Linked DNA regions of Astyanax mexicanus. The protein of the gene in region 2 purifies or fractionates together with the protein of the main gene of each other region. This does not show direct contact. Links are inferred from orthologs where the notes say so. Each region holds a gene or a part of one and is shown on either strand. Other genes may lie near its edges. The genes, in order: mms19, fbxl5 and aco1.

Evidence for each region.
Region 1: the proteins of fbxl5 (region 2) and mms19 purify together in Homo sapiens (affinity purification with mass spectrometry; 4 studies listed by BioGRID and IntAct, counting the BioPlex papers as one, with this or other methods). This does not show direct contact. The link is inferred for Astyanax mexicanus from reciprocal best matches to the Homo sapiens genes FBXL5 and MMS19.
Region 3: the proteins of fbxl5 (region 2) and aco1 purify together in Homo sapiens (affinity purification with western blotting; 3 studies listed by BioGRID, with this or other methods). This does not show direct contact. The link is inferred for Astyanax mexicanus from reciprocal best matches to the Homo sapiens genes FBXL5 and ACO1.

Annotation. Positions count from the first base shown.
Region 1 is NC_064422.1:9,099,711-9,107,756, forward strand, and holds the start of mms19 (MMS19 nucleotide excision repair protein homolog), read left to right. Parts: upstream 1-5,010; 5' UTR 5,011-5,055; coding exon 5,056-5,143; intron 5,144-5,683; coding exon 5,684-5,732; intron 5,733-6,623; coding exon 6,624-6,724; intron 6,725-7,154; coding exon 7,155-7,240; intron 7,241-7,340; coding exon 7,341-7,415; intron 7,416-8,046. Other genes in the region: ubtd1b (ubiquitin domain-containing protein 1), read right to left, coding at 1,640-1,724. UniProt on the Homo sapiens protein: Key component of the cytosolic iron-sulfur protein assembly (CIA) complex, a multiprotein complex that mediates the incorporation of iron-sulfur cluster into apoproteins specifically involved in DNA metabolism and genomic integrity.
Region 2 is NC_064420.1:11,522,618-11,529,762, reverse strand, and holds the start of fbxl5 (F-box/LRR-repeat protein 5), read right to left. Parts: upstream 3,044-7,145; 5' UTR 2,976-3,043; coding exon 2,892-2,975; intron 983-2,891; coding exon 767-982; intron 1-766.
Region 3 is NC_064415.1:28,092,347-28,099,900, reverse strand, and holds the start of aco1 (cytoplasmic aconitate hydratase), read left to right. Parts: upstream 1-4,484; 5' UTR 4,485-4,578; intron 4,579-5,458; exon of another isoform or gene 5,459-5,557; intron 5,558-6,489; exon of another isoform or gene 6,490-6,525; intron 6,526-7,554. Other genes in the region: uncharacterized protein LOC103041383, read left to right, coding at 1,190-1,334. UniProt on the Homo sapiens protein: Bifunctional iron sensor that switches between 2 activities depending on iron availability. Iron deprivation, promotes its mRNA binding activity through which it regulates the expression of genes involved in iron uptake, sequestration and utilization.

The DNA.
Region 1 (8,046 bases), on a different chromosome or scaffold from region 2:
CATATGTAAAGGACATGCCCGTGGCCCTGTGCTGCCTATCGAAACAGGGATTTCCAATGGCACTATTCAGCTGAATAATGCTTGCACACATACAGCAAAGCAAGGGTTTCTCAGAAGTGTCTCCAGCAGATTGCACCATATCCTTGATTGCTCAGTCAGTAGATTATCACCATTCAAACATTTACTAGCAGCGCACAGCTCAGGAGTTCCTCAAATTGAACAATTCTAGCTGTATATTGGGAGTAATGCAGAACAAAATATTGTGATCTTAGAGAATATCAGTATTTTATTACACCCTATTAACAACAGTGTCTATAACCTAGAAGTAGTCATTTAAAATGGTTTCTTAACTAGTCGAAAAGAATTGCACTACCCAGTATTGTCCAAAGCAGCAACAGTTGTGTAGGACTGCAACAATTAGTAAACATAATCGAAAAATGATTATAAAAATTGTAACTACAACAAACAAAATGATTAGTTTCAGCCCCAGGTGTACGTAAGAAAATGTATCTAGGTCTTTACCAAGCCTACTAATCTATTGGTCTATTAAGTCTATTAAACTCTCGATTAGTTTTCAGATTAGACGATTAGCAGACGAGAATTTCTGCCAGAGAGAGATACAGGTGGCATGGTAATCCACCAGAGATGTATAGTAAAGTAGAATTCCTTCCCTACTGTACTTAAGTACTAAAATGCTGTATCTGTATTTACTGGAGAAGATATATATATTTTTTTGTATTACAAATCTTTCCAAACCCACATTATCACTAAAATCAGAGAGGTAGATGCTCTGCACTGTGACCAGGTATGATGAAGCTGCTTATCACTGAAAGAATGAAAAGCTGTCATGGTACTACTTTCAGTAACAATTAAGTACAAAAAAGTACAAAAACATTTGTAAAAGTATTCCATATAAAAGTTGTGCTTAGAACACTCAAGTCACTTTTTTGATAAAAACTTACTCAAAACTACTCAAATCTGGACCTCTAGTACTTTATACAGGTCTGCAATCCTCTCTCTCTCTCTCTGCTTTGTTTCTCTATTGCTTCAAAAAAAAAAAAAACAGACTGAAAGACTGTAGTACATCATCCATCAAAACCCAACTGTAACCACACAAATTTAATCTGGATCCAACTGCAACCTCACACATTCCATGTAGCCCAATAAATTTGGTCAGAATGCATGTGGGGTTAGACAAGTTCTATCTGAATCCTGACTGTAACTCGACCAACTCTGTTAATAGCAAACTATGTCCAAATCCAATCATAACCCCACAATTTTCAATTGAATATGAAATTCTGTTTAAACCCAACTAGGCCAACAAATTATGTCTGAATGTGACTATAGTATAAGGTCAGACTTAAATGTAGATGCCAAAATTCTTTATCAATATGACTTCAACCCAACAAATTTTGCTTAAAATCACACTGCAGCCCTACAAATATTCTCTATGAACTCGACTGTAATCCAACAAATTCAGTCTGAACCTGACAGTACCCCAACAAATTGTGTGCACTGGAATGTGGGACTTAAAAACTCACTCAAAAAAAAGACATACACTGAGTTGCAGTTACAAATCTGACTAATAGACAGTGAAATTTCAAGGCCTAAAGACTAGCAGCTACATGTTTTCACTCACCTCCACGCTTCCTCTGACTCCTGCCACCTCGAGATGATCCCTGTCCGCGGGACTCCTGCCGTTCTCTGCCCACACATCCTCCCATGGTTCGGTCAGATAAACACGAGCCACATTGTTCGCTGGCTGCTGCTATTGATCACGACCTGAAAGGGGGAGCTGGAGCTTCGCACACAGCTGTGTTGTGGTCATCAACATGCGGCTGTTTAAACAGGAAAGCCCTGTTTAAATACAGGTGGATTGTTTTGGCAGGGTTTTTCCCCTCACCTGTAGCTTTAACTGAGCTGGGGACTTCTCCTCACCTTCAGACGGCTTTAGCTTGTGGGAGAGGTGTTAACGCTTAGATAGATAGCTCCAGCAAGCAACACTAAGACTGCAAGTGGGCAAGTGTGGGCTTGTAGTTGGGGTTATGTAGTTAGCTGGAAAGAAAGCAGGCAGGCGGACGCTGTTCTCTGTTCTGGAACACCTTGTTCTGTTTAACGTGGCTATTTTATGGGGTTCACCAATCAAATGGTGGGAAACTGTTTTGTTAAACTAATAAACTGAAACAGGAAAAATTAGGAAAAAGCTCCATACCTATTTTTGAGCTTGGTTTCAGTTTCTAAACGTCTAAACTGTTAGCTTAGCTAGTTAGTTAACTAGCCAAGATAACCAACCAACTAAACTAGTTAACTTTGCTAACTCAAGTAACGTTAACCTAGGTAGCGAGCTTGTTAACTAATACGGACACACTAGGCTAGATAGATAACTTAGCTAAGTTTCACCAATCAAGTGGTAGCAAATTATTTTGTAAAAATAATAAACTTAAACAGTAAAGGTTAGGAAAAAGCTCAATAGCTATCTGTAACACGCTTATTTTAAGTTTCTTAACTTTTTAAGACTTAGCTTACCAGCTTACCTAAATTTGAGTAACCTAGGTAACCTAGCTAGCTAACTGGGACAAACTAGGCGAGCTAAGATAGCCAAGGTTCACCAATTAATTAAATGGTAGCATATTGTTTTGTTAAACTAATAAACTTGAACAGGAAAAGTTAGGAAAACGCTCCATGGCTATTTATAACACGCTTGGTTTCAGTTTCTAAACTTCTATGACTGTTAGTTGGGTTTGCTAACTCAAGTAACCTAGGTACGTTATGCTAAATAACTAGCTTAAACTATGCCAACTAGCTAAGCTAGGTTAGCTTCCAATCCTAAACTGTATCATGTAACGTTATCGTAGTTAAGGCTAGTTAGCTAGCTCCCTAGCTACGTAGCGATATGTAAAGCTAACTTTGTCCTAACACTTCTGAACACACGACGTTTTAAAGCACATCCCCGGTCCGGATATGGCCCAAAGCAGTCCTGTCGCCCCGCTGAGAGTCTGGGAACTCGGCATTGCTGATCGACCCGCTGGCACCGCCGTACTCCGCTTCTCCACCGAGAGCCAACTTCTCTCTATCCGCCTCGGAGGAGCTAAAGCTCGGTTAGCGCTCCTGCTACAGTCCGCCAGAAACCTGGGACCTAGGGAAGCCTACAGAACAAAACAAGGAGAGCAGAGTAACATTTGAACCGAATTTAGACATGTATTCGCTCTGTAACAGGATTATTTTTGCAGATATGTAACTCTAGCTACCTCGTTTCCCCACTCTCGAGTCGCACCAACAGATCAATTCGCTTCGGCTGTGACTGTTTGCGCTTGCGCGGAACTAGGGTGCCTACGACACGCAGGACTCTGCAGCGATTGGGCGAAGCCAATGTTGATTTATGTACCTTAAATGTTCTCATATTTTATATGTATTAAATATGTATTTAAATGTATAGTTTTAATCTATTTTTTTCCTCTCACATATTGATGTCAGGCGATTAAAACTGATTTAATAAATTATTTATATGCTAAATTATTTAATCACATTTATCATCAAAACATAGATGAGGAGCAAATTAATGAATTAATTATTTGGAGAGCTCCACCTTTATTCACTAAACATTACAAAAAAATTATAGAAGACGGTCACACATGACAGAGGTTATTTTCTGGAGAGTTTAGACTACTCGAATATGTCTTAAAGACTACTTACATTTTTAATACATTTTTTTTACATAAATAGCTGAAATATGTTGATCTGTAATAATAAAACATACCAGCCCTGCTTTAAACACTAAAATGAGATGCAAATATTTAGAATTTAGATATTCACTTATTTTTATCCTATTTCCGGTTTTTGTCATTTTTTGTTATACATAGTGATATCAGTCAATTCAAAATGACTCATTTATATGCTTAATTATTTCTTAATCACTTTTATTCACATTTATCATCACACATTTTAAACTGTACAATTCAATTGAATCTTAGATGAGGAGCAAACAAATAAATGAATACATTACATATTAATAGCTCTACTTTTAATCACCTGAAAAATTACAAAACAATTACAGAAGATGGTCACATATGACAGAGGATATTTCATGTCTTGTCATGTCATGTCATCTATTATGCTTACTGTTTTTCGAACTTTATTTACTTATATTGATCATATATCAGCTATATATCATATATGTTGTTTATTCAACTTTGTAAGGTTTTCAGTTATTCACTAATTAATAACTTATTGTCTATATATTTTAGTTATTTTTAGATTGGGGGCAGTATCATATGGATAACTCTGGTAAAACAGTGTTTTAGACATCAGCCAGCGTATTCATAATCATTTAGTGTAATAACTTTATGTGAGGGAACTTTTTTTAGCTTTTCCAGTCTGTCCACTCTGGTAGATTCTGATTTATAAAGTTTCTGTGTTATTCTGATGATAAAAAGGCAGCTCACACGTTCACGCGCATCTGGCCGTTAACAGTGACGTGCACGTGCGACCGTGTGCGCATGCGCGCGCTGAAACGCACTTTGAATCCCCCTAAAGTGCTGGGTTCGACTCGGTTTAACGAATCGATTCTTTTTTTTAAGAGACTCTACTCAAAAATATGTCCAAGAAAACATTTTTCTTGGACATAAAGTTCACAGATAATCAGCCATGGGTTATTTATTTATTTATTTATTTATTCTATACATTTTAAGTACACATTTATCAGTATTATCACAACTGATGTTGCAGGAACCCAAATATGTATCTAATATTATATATTTGACTTTGGTCAAAATAAATGAGAATAAATAAGAATACATAAACTGTGCAAAACAATTTTGATTTCACGATACATTAGTTTAGATTCTTTTTTTTATTATTTTGCTAAACAAAGATTAAAAATGTTGTTTTGGTCTTTTAATGTTAATTGCTATTAATAAATACAAAAAAAAATATATATATATATATATATATATATATATTTATAGTTTTGATTCTTTTGAACACGTGAATCAATTTAGTCCAAAGACTCGGTTCAAGGAGCCGATTCGTCCACGAGTCGGACATCGCTAGTTCGCGATGGCGGCCGAAAGCGCTCAGTTGGCCGGGCTGGTGGAGGAATTCGTGGCGGGACAGGTGGACAGCAAGGCCGCGGACGTTGCGGCAGGTATGTTACGTGTTTGTCGGTGAGGTACAGAGCCAGGTGTTTTTTTTAAAGGGAGCACGAGCTCTCAAAATGTGCGTGAGATGCTCAGGTAGCGTGACTCGCACGTCGCTAACGTTCCCCCACATCCTGTAGGCTGAAGTTGGCTTCTTGTTTGAATTTCGTGGTTCCACCTTAATTGGGCTGCGGTCACATTCTGGCGCCGGGCAGGAGCGTGAATGTAACTACAGCCGATTTAAGGTGGAACGGGACAATTAGAGAACATGAAGCTAACTTCATCTTACATGACTTTTCAGGCAACTTGAGCATATGTCGACGATGTTGCACCATAAATTTGATAATTTATAGAAAAATACATGTAAAAATAACAAAATACCAATTGTCATTCACTATAACCCTTGCCTACAGTATATATAGAAGTGCCTGAATGGACGTGCACTATGGCTTTGGGAGAAGCCTGCAGCCAATATGGTTATCAGGGTCTGTTTGCCCTACATTTCTCACCTTAACCTCAATATAAACATGTTTTTATCTCTCTTTAAGGTGTCAAAGCTGGAAACTTTAACATACTGGAGCTGGTGGAGGCTCTTGGGTAAGATCCTCTATTCTGCATTAACTACATTATATTATATTTTATATAATTTACATTTAAGCATTTAGCTGGTACTCTCATACAGAGCAACTTACAAAGTTACGCTTAATACAAAATTGGGCCAATGTAGTGTTAGAAGTCTTGCACAAGGATTCTTGGGCTACGTTCACATTACCTGGCTGAAGTGACTCAAATCTGATTTTTTTCATGGCTGTGTGAATTTAAGTCACTTTCATATGTGGTCTTAAATCAGATACGTATCCGATCCTTGGACATGCAACATGAATGTGAACGGTCAAATAGGAATTCATGTGTTTTGTTTCTTTATTTTACGCATTAGCGCTACGTGTTTCTCTCTCGTACCCACACATTTCTTGGTGCAGCTATGCAGCTATAGCTGCAAAAAAACAGCAAAAGCAAACCAACTGGCGTTTTTTTCACCTCCTCAATCTGAGCATAAACTTCAGACCAGTTGTTTGCTCTCCACTCCAGCAAAAGATGATCCATATATGAGCTGCTAACGATTCCATTTCTCTTTATAAAGCTACGAGTCTCTCGTCTTTCTAATATAATATATATTTTTTTGGTGGTGAAGATGGAGACGTTTATACAGGTATCAATGTGCAGCATGTGAGACGTTTCAGGGACAGATTCGTTCACATTACACAAAGATACAGATCACTTACATTTGTGAATGTAAACCGTCAAGATAGACTAATCCGATCTGACCAGAAAAATTGTATTTGAGCAACGTGGCTTGTAATGTGAACGTAGCTTTATTGGCGTTATGTGTTATATCATAGTATGTCAGAGCTCTCAGAAGCTCTAATAGTGTTGCACAGTTATCAGTCTCTGGACATTGACCCTGATGATTCTGCTGTTTGTGTTTAGGATAAGTCTCACGAGTTCTCAGTCTCAGACGCGAGGCAGAGGGGTCCAGCTCCTCTCTGAAGTCCTGCAGGAATGCTACAGCGGCCTATCCGAGAGGGAGGGTAAGCTTTTATTCATCTTCTGATGTGCATTTTGCACTGGAGCTGGCAACCAACAGCCTAGTTTGATGTAGGGGTTTTTAACTATATTACTGCAGCTTTATAGGTTTATGAATTAAAGAGCCACTAAATCCTAAATCCTATTTTTAAATTAATAGCTGAAATTTGTTTCTCTGAAGAAAGGGCTGGGCGATATGGAAAACTATATCGTGATTAGATTTTTTTTCCATATCAGTCAATATCGCTATGTATCAATATGAATCATGTCACTTTCTGTTACACCTAAAGGTTTCTTTTTACACAAGTGACAGAATAAGGGCGTTATGGCCAAGCTCACCACCATGTTTTAGTCTAATGAATTTTAGTCACATAAAAATTGAGTTCTAACTCACTCTTACTGAGTTCCTGACTCTTTTATGACCCCTGTCTGCAGTGGAGGTCCTGATTGCCTTCTACGAAAACAGGCTAAAGGATCACTATGCGATCACACCGCACGTTCTCCGAGGACTCAAGGCCTTGGTGAGTCAGAAGCAGTCTTTGAGTAAACCAGGTGAACATTGGAGAAATTGAGGCTGGAGACGCTGATTCAACAAATGACTGACTCATATTTGTCCTTCAGGCGAAGAGTACAGTGCTGCCTCCTGGTTCTGCAGTATCCATCCTGAGATCCCTCTTCCAGGATGTAAATGTGCAGGTAAGGGTTTTAATAACACACTCCAAATGTAGGTACTGTGATATACACTTAGGCGGAGCTACAGTCTCTTATTAGAGTAAATATTATTACTCTAACACTCTAAATAAACAGTATTAAGTAAAACGGATTATATATTTCATAGTTCTGCAAATATTTTATTATATCTTATATAGGGTTGCAGCGGTAACCGGTTTCACGGTATACCGTGGTATTAAAATGCACGGTTATCATACCGTGTGTGTTTGCTTATTACCGGTAAAACTCAAGCCAGCGGAGAAAGTCACCCGCGCATGCGCAACTCTGCTCCGCTTCAGCTACTCAGCACACAGCGGTGAGAATGGCAGAAAGTGCATCAGACTAGAGCTTAGATTCTCTGCCCGAACCAGACCTGACCCGAGGACCGACCCGAAATCGGGTCCGTTCGGGCCGAGATTTCCCACCACATTCCTCGGGCCGGGTCGGGTTGGGCTCCAGAAAATAGTCTGAGATGTAGGCATCTGTTTTTTAAATTATATATTTTATTTTTAAATAAAGCTCTGGTGTGATAATCACAATGTTAATGCTAAGTAACCAATTATTATTGTTAATGAAAACGAACCAAATAACGAAAACTGAAAGTGAAACTTAACTA
Region 2 (7,145 bases):
TAGATTTATGGATTAATTCGAAATTTTTAATCGTTTATGGTTCTAGGTAACCTTTACCTTTCTTCTGAAAAGCATTGCAATCTAAAAATCTAGCAACTATTCAGACTTTTGTCTATAGTTTCAATAAGGCTGATTCTTGACTGTGCCTGATGCGAACAGCGCCTCAGCAATATAACAACTTCTTATTAAAACACTGGCATAAATATCCTTAAACACCAGTTAAAAAACCCATTATTATAGTGGTGACATATCTGCAATGGGCGAGGACAGATACTATTAACAGACGACACTCAACAGTGTCACCGTCTTCCCACACACAGAGATTCAGTGAGGGAAAAACTAACCAAAATGTTTCCACACAAACAACACATAAGTTGTTTCTAGAAATGAAACAACTGAGATGGAAACCTGTGTAGCAACTGCAATATTAAGATATCATCCTGTGGAAGGCAGTTTTGTATATACTGATATTAATTATATATTGATAAGCCCAACGATTTCCACAGAAAATCATTGCCGAACTGAGCAGCCACAAATAAGCCTAAAGTCAAATATCAAATAAACAACTCCAGTAGAGCGGTAAAACAAATTAACGTTAAAGTTAATTAAAGTCTAAAGCCTTTCTTCAGCAAGGAGGTCAAAACTCAATAATAATAATGATAATAACAATTATATCTCTGCTTTGAAGAAAAAGGTGGACAAGATGATATCTACAAACACTTACATGTAAAGCATGTTATGTCTGTGCACAGATATTGACACGCACCTTGACATTGCGAAGGCCTTTTTCAAAAAGCAACAGCATCTCGGACAGCTTGTTGTCAGAGTGCACGTTGTAGATGGTACGGCTGCGCTGCTGCAGCAGATCGATTATGTATTCATTCTCAATCTGCTCATGGATCTTGAACACCTTGAAGGTGGCGCAGAGCGTCTGCAGGAAGGCGCGGAAGTCATTGTTGTTGGAAAAGTTTGTCTTTGACAGCTGTATGTAGTGAAATGAGAGAAAGAAGGAAAAAGGTGTCAATATCTAATATGCATATGTTGGGTATTAGGTGATACGGCAAATAACTTTGAAATACATTTTTATAATTAAAGATAAGCTATATAATATAAATAATCAATTTATAAATAAAGCTAAATAATACTTGCTATGATGCTGGTCTTCACTTCTGCCAATCCTCTTTCCATGTGAGTGTTTAAAAAGTAGCTATACTCCACAGACTTGTCCTCAACACCTTTAATAATCAATAAATGTCTACACATAAATGTCTAGCCAGCTGAGACTAAGCAGCAGTCAGGGAAGATTGGGAGCAGTTTAGGCTGCTTATGTAAGCATGTGCAGCCTGCATCTTTTTGTTGCTGTAATGATCACTTTTAACTAGTTAAACTCTGTTTAACGACTCCCCAAAAAACAAAACAAGTAGTAGGCCTGACAAGATAATACAATTACTGACTAACCAAACAATCAATACAATCCCTAAACAAACTATATTTCCCATAATGTTTACTTACTTAAAAAGACAAATTAAACTATAAGCTATTTATCCATGAGACAGCATGTTTCTTTTAATAAGGAAAACTAAAAATACTCCTAATGAATTATGAACTATAATTAACATTACACAGTTGCAAGAAAAGTATGTGAAACCTTTGTGAGTACTTGAATTTCCACCATAGACCATAGTTTGGATGAGGTTTTGATGGTGTGCTGTGCCTTTTTTCTCCACACATAGCGTTGTGTGTTCTTTCCAAACAACTTAATTTTGGTTTTATCTATCCACAGTATATTTAACCAGTCAGTTAGTTCTCTAAAACATCCAGGTGCTCTTTTGTAAACTTCAATGGTGCAGCAATGATTTTTTGAACAGCAGTTTTATAACAAACAAATTTTAACCAATTTGACACTATAAACACACAGCAAAGCACCATTTATATTAAATGTATGATAACATAAACTGGGAAAACAGTCAATAATCTCAAACTGCGTGCACCTAACGTAAGTTAGATAATAATGTGGGTTAAGCAGTAAACTAAAGATTATGGTAAGTTAGTTAGCTAACACCAGGGATCCTCTCACCACAGCAGCACGTAATGCACGTACTAACCTACGTTAGCTGGCAGCTAAACTACAGCTACCTACTGGGGCTAATTGTAGCTAGTAAGTTAGTCAGGGAGTCAGACATGTTTAATGACTGCGCAGTTAATGAATATTAGTCTAATACTTTTGTAAAGTTTAGAACAGCCTTATAAGATTATGATGTAAGCACAGGAACCGAGCAAAGGAAACATGGCTAGTTAGGTTAGCTATCTTAAGCTTTACGTCTACAGTTAACGTTGGCTAGCTAATGGTGTAGCTGGGTTAGCATGTTAGGCTAGTGTAGCTTAGTCCACTTTTTCAGAATATTTGAAAGAGCTTGTTTCTTATTTTAGAGAGATTTTGGAGAGCAACGTGTTCATAAAACTGTGTAGTAACGTGCTATTGTCCGTTAATTAAAAATACATTTGGGTTTACCTTAGCTACGTTAGCTAGCTAACCTTAGCTATTTCCAAGGCTTTCATTCTTTTGCACCAACACACCCCTGGTTCAGCTTTAGCTAGCTAGGCTACGTCAAGCTAATTCCGTCTCTATCACAGTGTTGAAGACGACACTAGTGTTATTTTCTGTTTCTAACTAATGTCTTTACATGTTAAGTGATAATAATGGTGAACTAGCGATTTACAGCCACAATAAACACGCTGAGCTCTAGTGTTTGGTTAGCTAAGCTAGGCTAGATAAACAGAGAGCCTGTAACTAAGCACCGTAACGACCGTTAACGTTATTAAACCCATTAAACAATATGAATTGTTAATGAAAACCAGTAAAGCAGGTAGCGGTCGGATTCCCAGTATACCTTGTCGCAGTAAAGGCCGACCAGCTGCTTCATTCGCCAGTGTGGCCCAGTGAACACGTCCACCTCGTCCGGGAAAGGCGCCATCGCGCTCCATGGACTCAGTACACAGCTCCACTACAGCAGTACAGTTCCATCAGACCTGACCCCTCACACCGCACCAGCACACACACGCAGGGCTGTGCGATACTGCAAAAATTTCCATCGATCCAATACCAAGGAAATAAAGGGCCAGTACTGCCGATACTGATATGAATACTTTTTACTCTTACCATCTTTTTTGTGTAGGGGAGAGCAATTTATTAAGTGAATGCATCATCAATATGCAAATTTGAATGATTTTTTTTTATTATTATTTAATTATTTTGTTTTATTTTATAAATAATTATGTTTTTGATGGTAATAAAACACAGTTTATAGAAAACTTAAAATGCCCCTTTTGGGGTGGTAATCTGCATTTGCAATTAACAAACAGATTTTTCCCAATGTTCTCTTGACAGTTAACATAAAATATGTATTCAGCCATATTCATATTTCAGTTTTGAGGCATAACTATATCTTTTTGTAGGTAGCATATCTATTTTTCAGTTCCAGTGAAATAATTTATTTAGTTTTAGAAAAGGGGAGAGGCTAATTGAGCATGAGTGAAGTGAGAGAGAAGTCGTGTTTTACAGTCAGTCGGTCACTCTGTAGATGCCTGGAGTTGTACTGAAGATAAACCGAAACTTAAGAAGCAAACTAGAGATTATAGTTAATTAGCTAACGCCATAGATTCTCTCACTACTGCACGTACTAACCTACATTATCTCACGGCTAAACTAGAGCTCCCTACTGGGGCTAAGTGTACCTAGTAGTCGGGTAGTCAGACATGTTTAATGACTGTGCAGTTAATGAATAATTTTGTAAAGTTTAAAACAGCCTTATAATATTATAATGTAAGCATGGGGATGGAGGAAGGGAATAATAATGGCTAGTTAGGTTTACGTCTATAGTTAATGTTTGCTTGCTAAGGCATAAAATGGGCTAGTTCAGTATGAGTGAAATGAGAGAAGAGCAGTGTTTTATGGCCAGTCGGTTAATCTGTACATGCCTGGAGTTGTACAGAAGATGAACTGAAACCTAATCGATCTCATCACACAAGTATTAATAAATACCAACATTAGTATCAATACTATCAATATTTTAAATTGATCTGCCCCTAACACACACTACACAGCCTTCAGCACAAAACTGTGCCTTCTGGGGTCTCATAACTATATTACATACTTGTAAAGTGTAAAATAGTCAGTGTACAGCTTGTATAACAGTGTAAATTTGCTGTTCCCTCAAAATAACTCAACACATTGCCATTATTGTCTAAACTGCTGGCAACAAAAGTGAGTACACCCCTATGTAAAAAAATGGCCAAATTGTGCCCAAGGACATCAGAAGGCACAGTATTACAGTATTCTAAATATATAGTACACCCCTATTTTTGTAAATATTTTATTATATCTTTTCATAGGACACAACTAAAAAAAAATAAATAAATCAGTGAACAGCTTCATGTGTGAATTTGCTGTGCCTCCAAAATAACTGAACACATGGCCATTTATGTCTAAACTGTGCTGATAACAGAAAGTATAGATAGCCCTTTAGTGAAAAAGGCCAAATTATGCCACTCGTTAGTGTTAAATTTGGTATTTTGTGTACAATTCTCTGTTATTTGCCACTTGGTATTCAACATGGCACTTCATGGCAAGAAATTGTGGCAAGAACTGAAATGTTTCTCTCTACAAAGCTGGTCTGATCTATCAGAAGATTGCTAACACCCTAAAACAGCATGATGGCCAAGGTCATACAGCAGCTTTCCAGGATGGGTTCCATTCAGAACAGGCCTTCTCAGAGTCATTCAAAGAACTTGAGTTCACGTGTTCATGTGTAATATACAAGGGCATAGGAGCGGGTTTGAAATTGGGGGGACACATTTGCCAATATGAACCCAAGCCCACCCTGTAGTTTCCTAGAACAACATTTGTGGAAATTACTTTTAATTAAAAGTAAATTATTATTAAAATGTGACTTTACAACCTAAACATGTTATTTGGTTATTATTATTATTATTATTATTATTATTATTTATTGGCATGTCAATTCTGTCATATCTTTACGTTTTCTCCTGCGCTTTATTATTTTCTACTGAGAGCTCTTCTTAAGATGGTGTCCTTTTATGTAAAAGAATGTAACTTTGCGTTTCATAGACATGTGGTCACTTTGAGCTACAAATTAACAGAAGTCAGGTTAGATCAGTGTTTCTCAACCCTGTTCTTACATGTTATACTGCATATTAACACTGTTCTCCATATTCTAGAGCTCCCTCTGCTTTAAAGGCATTTAATAGGGTAAGTGGTGGTATGATGTGTTTAATACACTGCTGGATATACATGATTAATTTAGGCTCCATAGGGGGCTAAGAGATTTTAACAGGTAAACTCGGTAAATGACTGTTTATTAGCCGATCAGCTGGATCAGGTGGAAAACACAATTTTGGGGCAGTGATCAGGGTTAAGAAACTGCTTTAAACTAAAACATAAAGTACTGTACTAAATTCTGGCTATCCACTACATCTGGCTTCTAGCAAACTAGTTAACTAAATGAATTTTCGTTCATTATAGCTCACAGTAAGTCCTGTAATCCTAAATTAATAAACACAGTTTGACAAAATGAAATAGCGATTAGCTGATCAGGTACAGGGCAAGTTGAACATTACATATATAGTTTTTTTCTTTAACCTTGACTCCCAATATAACTAATTCCAAAGTTAAGCTAACTCACTAACACAGCTGCAGTTTATTAATCACAGTGGGATTAAACTTTTTGCTGATTCAGAGACGTGTATTTTTAACCAGCTATCAGAAACATATCATCACTGTTGACGTGGTTAGCCTATCGTTACCTTTTTTTTTTTTTTTTTTTTAAATCTCCGTATATCCAGATCTGTTTTTAAATCAGCTGCTGCTGCAGCCCGATCCCGCTGCTAAATCTCACAGCGAGGGGGCGGGGCTTCCACCACCAGCACACTGCCTCTCCTCCCCGCGTCGCAAAACCAGCAAGCTGATTGGCTGTTTTTACTGAGAGGCGGGAATTAATACATGAACTGGCTCCGTGATTGGTCCGGTCTGTCTCCTCATTAGTACAGCTGATCTGAGCGAAACGATATCATTTTTGGGGGGGGCAACCACCTGTTTCTAATATGTCCCCCCCATCCCCCCCCACCCCCCCGGTTCCTAGCCAATGGTAATATACATAGTCTGGCTTTAAAAAAATAGAGTGCTGTCAGCATTGCTGCAGAGCTTGAAGAAATGGGAGGTCAGCCTGCAGTGCTCAGACCATACAGCAAAAGTCCTAAAAGGGATCCTCTTCTGAAGATGATGCACAGGAAAACACGCAGTCAAAGAACATGGATTACTGAAACCATGTCCTGCCTCAACAACTTGTTTGGCTCAGATGGTGTCCAGAATGTGTTGTGGCATCCTGGTCAGGACTACCAAGAAAACTATCCCTTATCTACTGTCAAATATGGTGGTGATAACATCATTGTCTGGGGCCATGTGAGTGCTGGCAGCACTGGGGAGAATTTCCTGTGACATTCTGAAGCAGAGCAGAAGCTGGAAACTCCAAATATGATAAAGGCCCCAAACCAAAATACCAATTGCTTTGCTGAGGAAGCTCAACATAAAAGTGATTGGCCAAGTATGTCTCTTGAACTTAACCCAACTGAGCATCTGTGGGGCATCCTCAAAAAGAAGGTGGAAGAGCTTTGCGCTCTTTAACAGTCTTTAACATTTACCAGCACTATTTACCATGGAGGAGTGGAAGAGGATTCAAGTAGCAACCTGTGAATCTCTAATAAACTCCAACTGAAAAATAATGGTGCCACACAAAATATTGACACTTTGGGCACAATTTGGCCTTTTCTACTTAGTGGTGTACTCACTTTTTAGACATTTATGACAGTGTGTTATTTTGAGGGAACAGCAAATTTAGTGTTATACGGGCTGTCAAAAGTATCAGTGTCATATCTTCAGTTTCCTACTGAACATTAAAACATTTAACAATGAATATTAAAATCTAAAATAAAAGTCAATGTTAGATAATCACAGTGAAACTATATTTACAGTAATAGGGTCAATCATGTAAAAAATGACTATTAATCACAACTTTACTGTCATTATTTCTGATTAAAATAATGGCCTTTAATAAAAATAAGGTTGACCT
Region 3 (7,554 bases), on a different chromosome or scaffold from region 2:
CTGTTTATAAATGCCTATATAGGCTTATGTTATGAATTGTTATGAAAAGCTTGTTTAGAAGTCATGTGTTAGAAATGGTGCCCTGCAGTAAAGTGTTACTAGATAGTTCAATGAGTGCTTAATTCAGTTACAATTGAAATGTAATAGGCTAATACTAAATACTAAATACTAATAGGCTATCAAGCGAACGGTGCCAGACACCGGCCCTCCATAACTGTTGTTATGAAGGGAGTTGTGCACCCCTTGTTTAAACAGTCTAATAAAAAAAGTTTTGGTCTCTTACTAAAAAAGATCATTTTGGGCTCTATAAGTAATGGAGTTAGTCATAATTATCCACAGTAGTTTTTTCAGTAGACCATAGGGTTTCACTCCTAAGCTGGGTAAGCTACTCAACTATGAGTCCTTGTAGCATACTTTTCATGTATTAGGCTCAAAAGAAAAGTATTGACAGCTTGATGATGTAAATGTATTAAAAAACTAATAAGGCAAATCATTACTTTAAACATGTTTCAAATATCAAATATAAAAAATATCAAATATCATGTTTCAAAAATCAAATATAAAAGCATTTCTACTGAATCACATTCTGCATATTTATTTTCTTTGAACAGTTTTACACATTTGTGTCCAATAAATGTATTAAACAATTTCTTAGAAATATATATATATATATATATATATATATATATATATATTTTTTTTTTTTACAATTATTGTTTCCATTAAATTGGCTTTTGACAGTGTTTGAGAAAGTTTGGGTTTCAATTTTATCTGCATAAAATCTTTACATGCTTGAGTTTAATACTGTTTATTAATAAAGCAAAATCTGTAGAAAAAGCTACTGACCCATGGAGGGGAAAAATACTACCCCTAATTCTTGTAGTATTATTGGATTTTTTCCCCTTTTCTCACTTTCAGTCCTGAACAAGGGGGATTTATCCTGTAAAAATAGCAAAAACTGTTCTGTGCTTCAGGGGGAAATCAAAGATAACTTTAAATGAGCTTACATACTGTACACAGTGTATGTACAAAGTAGATTAAAAATACTTTGTTAAAAGAAAGATCGAGATTTCATTCCTGATTTTATCACAGTTGTTTTTTTATCAGTTCAAATCTTGGGTAACATGTTTATGAATCAAAGGTTCAAGCTGAGTTCAACTCGACTTGGCTTTGTTCCCCTCCACTCTAGGCAGTATGTTATCAGTCAGATTCCCAGCCTGGAAGTCCTAGATGACACAGAGGTGCAGGAGAAAGAGCGAGCTCTGGCCAGGAAGACCTACAGGATGCAGAGAATCAGGGAGGGCAGCAAGAAGAGGAAGGAGCTCCATCACTGATAGCCAATGGCTAATCGTTTCATCAGACCCTTACCGGGCTGTGTGCCAAGCCAGCCCTGCGCTCTTTAAATCTCAGAACAATCCAACCACTCATTCCAGGCCTCTATAAGCTTTATGGGAAGAACGTGAACCAGTACATGTTTGCATTTGTAAAGTGATTAGAGCTGACTGTGAGGGCTCGTCTCTGCATTTTTCTTCTACTTGAGTTTATCACTAAGGTCTGCTGGGATGTTTGTGTGGAGTATTGCACCAAAAATGTCATTAACTTAAGAATAATATATCAGAGCTGTCAGGAAAAAAAATATTTGTGTCTTGTTTTTACATTGTGTTCCAATTCCTTTGTGCACAGGTTGAAACATATAGTCCAGAATTATTTTAAATAAAATCTTGTTCCACTGAAAATGTTTATTTTCTTTCTCCTTTTAATCATATATTTAATGACAGCATGAATATACAAATATGATCTGCATTGATTCGTTATCTTGTATTGTAAGGTTAAATATATCAGTTTAAACATTAGTTTGGTTGTAGGGCTAAAGTGATGAAGACAGTGCTTAATGCTGTTTTTTTAGCTTAGTTTCCAAAAATATATGGTAACACATATGGAAACTGAATGGGTGGACTGGGAAGCTTAAAAACCTGTTTACATGCTACTACATCATCATGTATTTCATCATTTTTTTTATTATACAGGGCATTTACAGTAAAGCCTTGGTTGATGCACTATAAATGTTGGTTAAATAATTGATTATGGAACCACTTAATTTTCTTAAAAAAATAAAATAAAACAAAGGATAAACATTATAAACACATTAAAACACAGTTCATATTTTGCCCACTAGAAAAACGCCTATATTTTCAGCAATGTCAAAACACTGTTTTCTGTGTATATCAGTATATGGACGGATGGTTCTGCACCAATTATATTACATATTAAAATTATTCTGTAACGAGGTTCAAAACAAGGTCAGAATAGTACACTAAAGCTGTGCATCCATTCTTATTAATATCTGTAGTAGTAGCAGCAGTAGTAGGAGTAGTAGTAGTAGTAGCAGCAGTAGTAATAATAATCATAGTAGTTTGGCAGTAATTAAGTAATTGCATTTTGTTACTTTATTGTACTGAAGGTTACTGTGCAGTTTTTTTTTTCTCATCTTTACTTAGGTATTTATATTTTAGTGTTTTTATTACAACTTCACTACATTTCAAAGACAAATATCTCTACTCTTTATAAATATCTTACATTTTTTTCTTACTCCACTACATTATTCGAAATCTAAAAAAAAAAAAAAAAAAAACAGAAAGCAAGCACATCAAACAGGTTACAGTATACACTTTTTAACTTGTTTTTACCTGCTGGAACCCTTTTGGCAAGCATACAATTTAATATCAGTATTACAGTGCAAAATGTGTGTAAGAGTACATATATAATGGAATAAATTGTTAAATATAGAAAAGAAAACCCTTTTTGTACACCTGTATTTAAAGCAACATAAAAAAAAAACTTGAATCTAAGTTGCAATTAAACTTAAACTGAAACTTTGCATGTTTGCATTTTTTTTATAGACAATTGGTGTATTCAGTGTTTAGTTTATAATGAGTTTGATAGACTTCAGTGTCAAATTAATGGCATTCTGTAAAAGATGAGTAAACCAAGATTGACACAGGAGACTTTTCACCTAAAATTATTTGACTTGGTTTAAATAAAATAAATACAATAGGATATTTAAACCAGACTATTTTATGGTAATTTTACTCTGTGTCTGAAATGTACCAAATGCTGCCCTGCTTAAAAAATCCAAGTCCAGCTAGTCTTTCAGACAACACATACCCTATGCTGGTAGGCTAGCTCCTGATCAGCACAGGGTTTTCTCTGGATGACCAGCTGCTCTTGAACTAGTTTTTTAGCATGGGTCTGAGGCAGGAAGGCACCCAGCATTGAACTAGCATATCTAGCATTGAACTGTCCATACCTTGGCAACTTTAGGATGTATTGCTCCGTATTGTTTCAGATAGTGATTTTTTTATTTTATTAATAAACTGCCTTGTGTTTCAGGCACAGACTAACTATTTACTATTTATTTGAAGGCAAATAATTTTGTACTTTTGCTCTAGTGGAGATCTAAATGGGGTTGTTCTCCTTTTACTGGGGTAATATTTTAGAAATATCTAATTTAACACAGGTACATACATGGCTGTACAAGGAGTATGCTCGGGGCCTGTGGTTTAGGACACAGACTGTTCAAGTTAGCATTTCTTGTGTTTCAGACACAGACTTAGTATTTAATTTTTTCAAGGCAAATAATTTTGTACTTTTGCTCAAGTGAAGACGTAAAGGAATGCCTTCTACGTTTTTTTTGTTACTGGAGTAATATTTTAGAAATATCCAATTTGACTCAGGTACATGGCTTTACAAGGGGTATTCTAGTGGCTTGTGATTTAGGACACAGCCTGTTTAAGTTTGTATTTCTTGTGTTTCAGACACAGACTTAGTATTTAGCTACGTTTTTTTTTAAGACAAATAATTTTGTACTTTTGCTATAGTGGAGAGCCAAGGGGAGACGCTACGTTTTTTTTACTGGAGTAATATTTTAACTCGGGTACATGGCTGTAAAATGTATATTCTAGTGTTACGTGGTTTGGGACACAGCCTGTTCCTAAAAGTACACCAGCTGCAGGCAGGCAGACCAGTGAGATCAGGTTATGCAATAGCTCACCTTTGTTCATTGGTTCCTTGAAACCCACCCCAGGGAGTGGAGTTTTATTTGAGCAATACAATTAGGAGTTTACTTTACTGCGTTTATTAATTTTAAACTGTTATAAAATGCATTAATAATGTGGGGAAAAAGAAAAAAACAGCGTCAGGTATGCATGAAAATAATTAGCTAGCTGTTAACCTCTGTCATAATGACCCCTGTTAAACCCCTATGTTTTTTTAATAAACAGCTGAATCATTACCGTATTAAATGTGGTATAAAGACTTATTTAGCAAGGGGTTACTTGTTTTGTTGGTGAAACAAGCGTGCAGGGACATATATAAACAGTCAGTGCTGTACATTAGTAATATAATTCTGTATTTATGAAGGCTGACAGGGATAGAAATGTTATAAATGCTATTTTATGAGTTGCGTGTTTTCTCTGTGTTGTATTGTACCTGTGGATTACGGTAAACAGCAGCGCCGCTGCTCGCCTGGCTCTTTAGCTGGGTATCAGAGCAGAACTTCAGGGTTTGGGAGCTGAGCAGGTAACTGAGCTGGTCCTGTTTAAAATAAGCGCTGTGCTGTTTGTGTGAAGTTTGAGGAAACCGTGCTGTAGATGGTAAAGCTGCCTAAGGTTATACAACGTATTTAAACTCTCGTTATTGCGTAAGGTAGTCTGTTAAACGCTAGCTAATGTTAGCTGTGACCGACCGGTGTTCTGCCGAGTTGTGTTACCCATCGGTTTGTGCTACTTAGCGCCTCTGCGCATGCGTTAAACTTTAATTTTTACTGTTTTCTTGTGTTTTTCCTGATAATTTCGTTTTTTCCCCGGGTGCATTGTACAATTTGGACTTACTGCCATCGTTTGCTTGAGTGTTATAACTGAAAAATAGAATAAATAACGATAAAAACGCTTTCTAATTACTATGTATATAACTTTATCCTGATACAGCGATAAGGCTATTCAAATATCATACCGAGACTTAATTTGCGTGCATGTTCTAATATTTTATATTTTACCTTTGAATACACACTGGGGTAGCATAGTTTGACAAGGTTTGTAAATCTCAAAAGTTGTGCTACCTTGTCAAACCGTGCTACACTAGTGTATCTTTACTGTAAAAATACAAAATAGGTACCATATTGCAGCCTGTTCCCAGTAGAAGTCCCAGTAGATGTAGATAGTATATTTGGATATCATAAATCACTGTATCATGATAAGAGATTCATACAAACTGCTTTTGTATTTTTTTGTAAATAATAACTATTGTATTTATTATAATTCATTTACATTTACACGTTTGTCCAATGACAGCGAGTCCAGCTTGTTTAAAGCACAAAAATAGAAATATTACAAAATAAAAACACGAGAAATAAATACAAACTGTAGGTCAGCGCATGCGCAGTGCTTTTAGGAAGCACTATCGGTGGGTAGCAAAACTCGACGGAACACCCCGGCTAGCTGTAGTATCGTTAACGTTAACCGAGAGACTGACAGTGAGTGGGGGAGAGGTCGAGGCTGAGGCTGCGTCCAGAAACTTTTGCTACTCCTCCTCTCCTACTCCTCCTTTCCTACTCCTCCTCTCCTACCCCGGAAGAAGGTGGAGGAATCGAGGAGAGGAGAGGAGGAGGAGGAGGAATGGAGGGAAGGAGCTGTAATTGGGGAAATGGGACAGCTGATCCCTTTTAGATAGGATGTTGAAAACCGTTGAACTGAGCCAATCACAACGCTCACTATCAGCACGTTTCAGAACATTACTATCACACACAGCTAAAAATTCAGATATTCCAATAAAATCCTGTTTACTCCCAGCCGCATTTTTGGCCGCATCTCTGGCCAGTGACTCTGGTAGCCCTGTCTGACCTCAGCCTTATGAGGGATTCAGTTCCTCATCAGTCCCTAAGTTAAAATAAATAAGTAAATAAATTAATTAATTAAAATGATATATATATATATATATATATATATATATATATATATATATATATATATATATATATATATATATATATATATATTATAAATAATATATGTTTTTATATGTATAACATGATACACATAGGGTCATAAATATAGTTTTACTGAGCATACAGTTTATCTAAACTATAAATTATATTACTGCTTTACTGGCTGTTTAATTAGATAAGGAACCTAGTTAATTAATATGTTTATGACGTATATTTGGGCGTTGCCTTCCCCATTTTCGCGTGCTCTGTGGGCGTGGATGCAGTGATGTCATTGGAAAATCCTTAAAAGTCTTCCGGAGTAGGATACACTGATGTAACCTCCGTTGGAAGCCTACTACAGGTGGATTTTAAGCGGCTTCTTTCGTCTCCTACGGTATTCGGACAGGCGGCAAGATGGCGTCACGAAATCAGTTTCCGGGTCACGGAGGAGAGGAGGAGGATCGGTAGGAAAAAGGAGACACTTTTGGGGTTTCTGGACGCAGCCTGAGTCTCCAGTATAGCAGAGTTAACTAAAGCAGCAGCAGGTCGAGTATCATCATCATTATTATTGTTGTATTTACTGAGTAACTGTGTTACTAACTGAATATCTGAGTGTTAGCTAGGTTATTTAGCTAGCGGTGGCTAATGTTTTGTAGGATGAGCTAATGTTAGCATGTAAACTAACTAAGCTAGCTAAGGATAGCTAATCTAACTATTTGGCTAACTAGCTACTGAAGTAACCCCTGAATTAAACCTAGCTATCTAGCTTATTGGATAGATGGTTAACTAGGTTAACTCGGCAACTTTTCCCACTAGTTTGCTGTAGTTTAGGCTGTAAAGATAGAGAAGGTATATTGCCCTCTGTCATTCATTATTTGAGTTTCATTGAATTTGTTTGGTGTATAAGTGAACCTGAGCAGGTGGATGAGGTGGAGTGCTCGTTCAGAGTCCACTTGTAGGAAGCTAAGCTAACCAGCTAGCAAGTAGTAACTACATTATTTACAAGCTATTTTTTTAAAACCTAAAAAAGCACAAGCTGTGCAAACTCAGTGCCTTTATTGATTGGTGTCATGTCATCCACAAGTGTTTTACCATATTACATTGTATTATTCGACATTTTCTTTTTTTTTTTTAATCCAAAACATTATATATCACTGTAATGTAATTACTAGTAAAAATTTTGATTTCAGATATACTAGCTATGGAAATGGTTTTAGAAAATGTAAGTGTGCTGCAGACTCCCATTGACAGCATGCCATATGCACTTAGTTACCAAAAGCTAAAATTCACCCGATTTGCTCCAAAACATAAATGTCAATTACATTTCTGGCAGATTGAAGAAATTGCAAGGAATTGAATTAATAGTCTTTCCACAAAAAGGGGCATAATAATAATAAAACATTACCTTGCCTCCCTATTTAAAAACGACCAGACATTAATTTTGGACTACCCCTTGGTGAAAGATTGTTGACTGATGGACTTGCCTCTAAAACACTCTTAAAGACACTTTGTTGAGTTGACAGACTTTGAGAGGAGGAGCATCATAAAACTGAGAGAAGCAGTATGATTGTTTT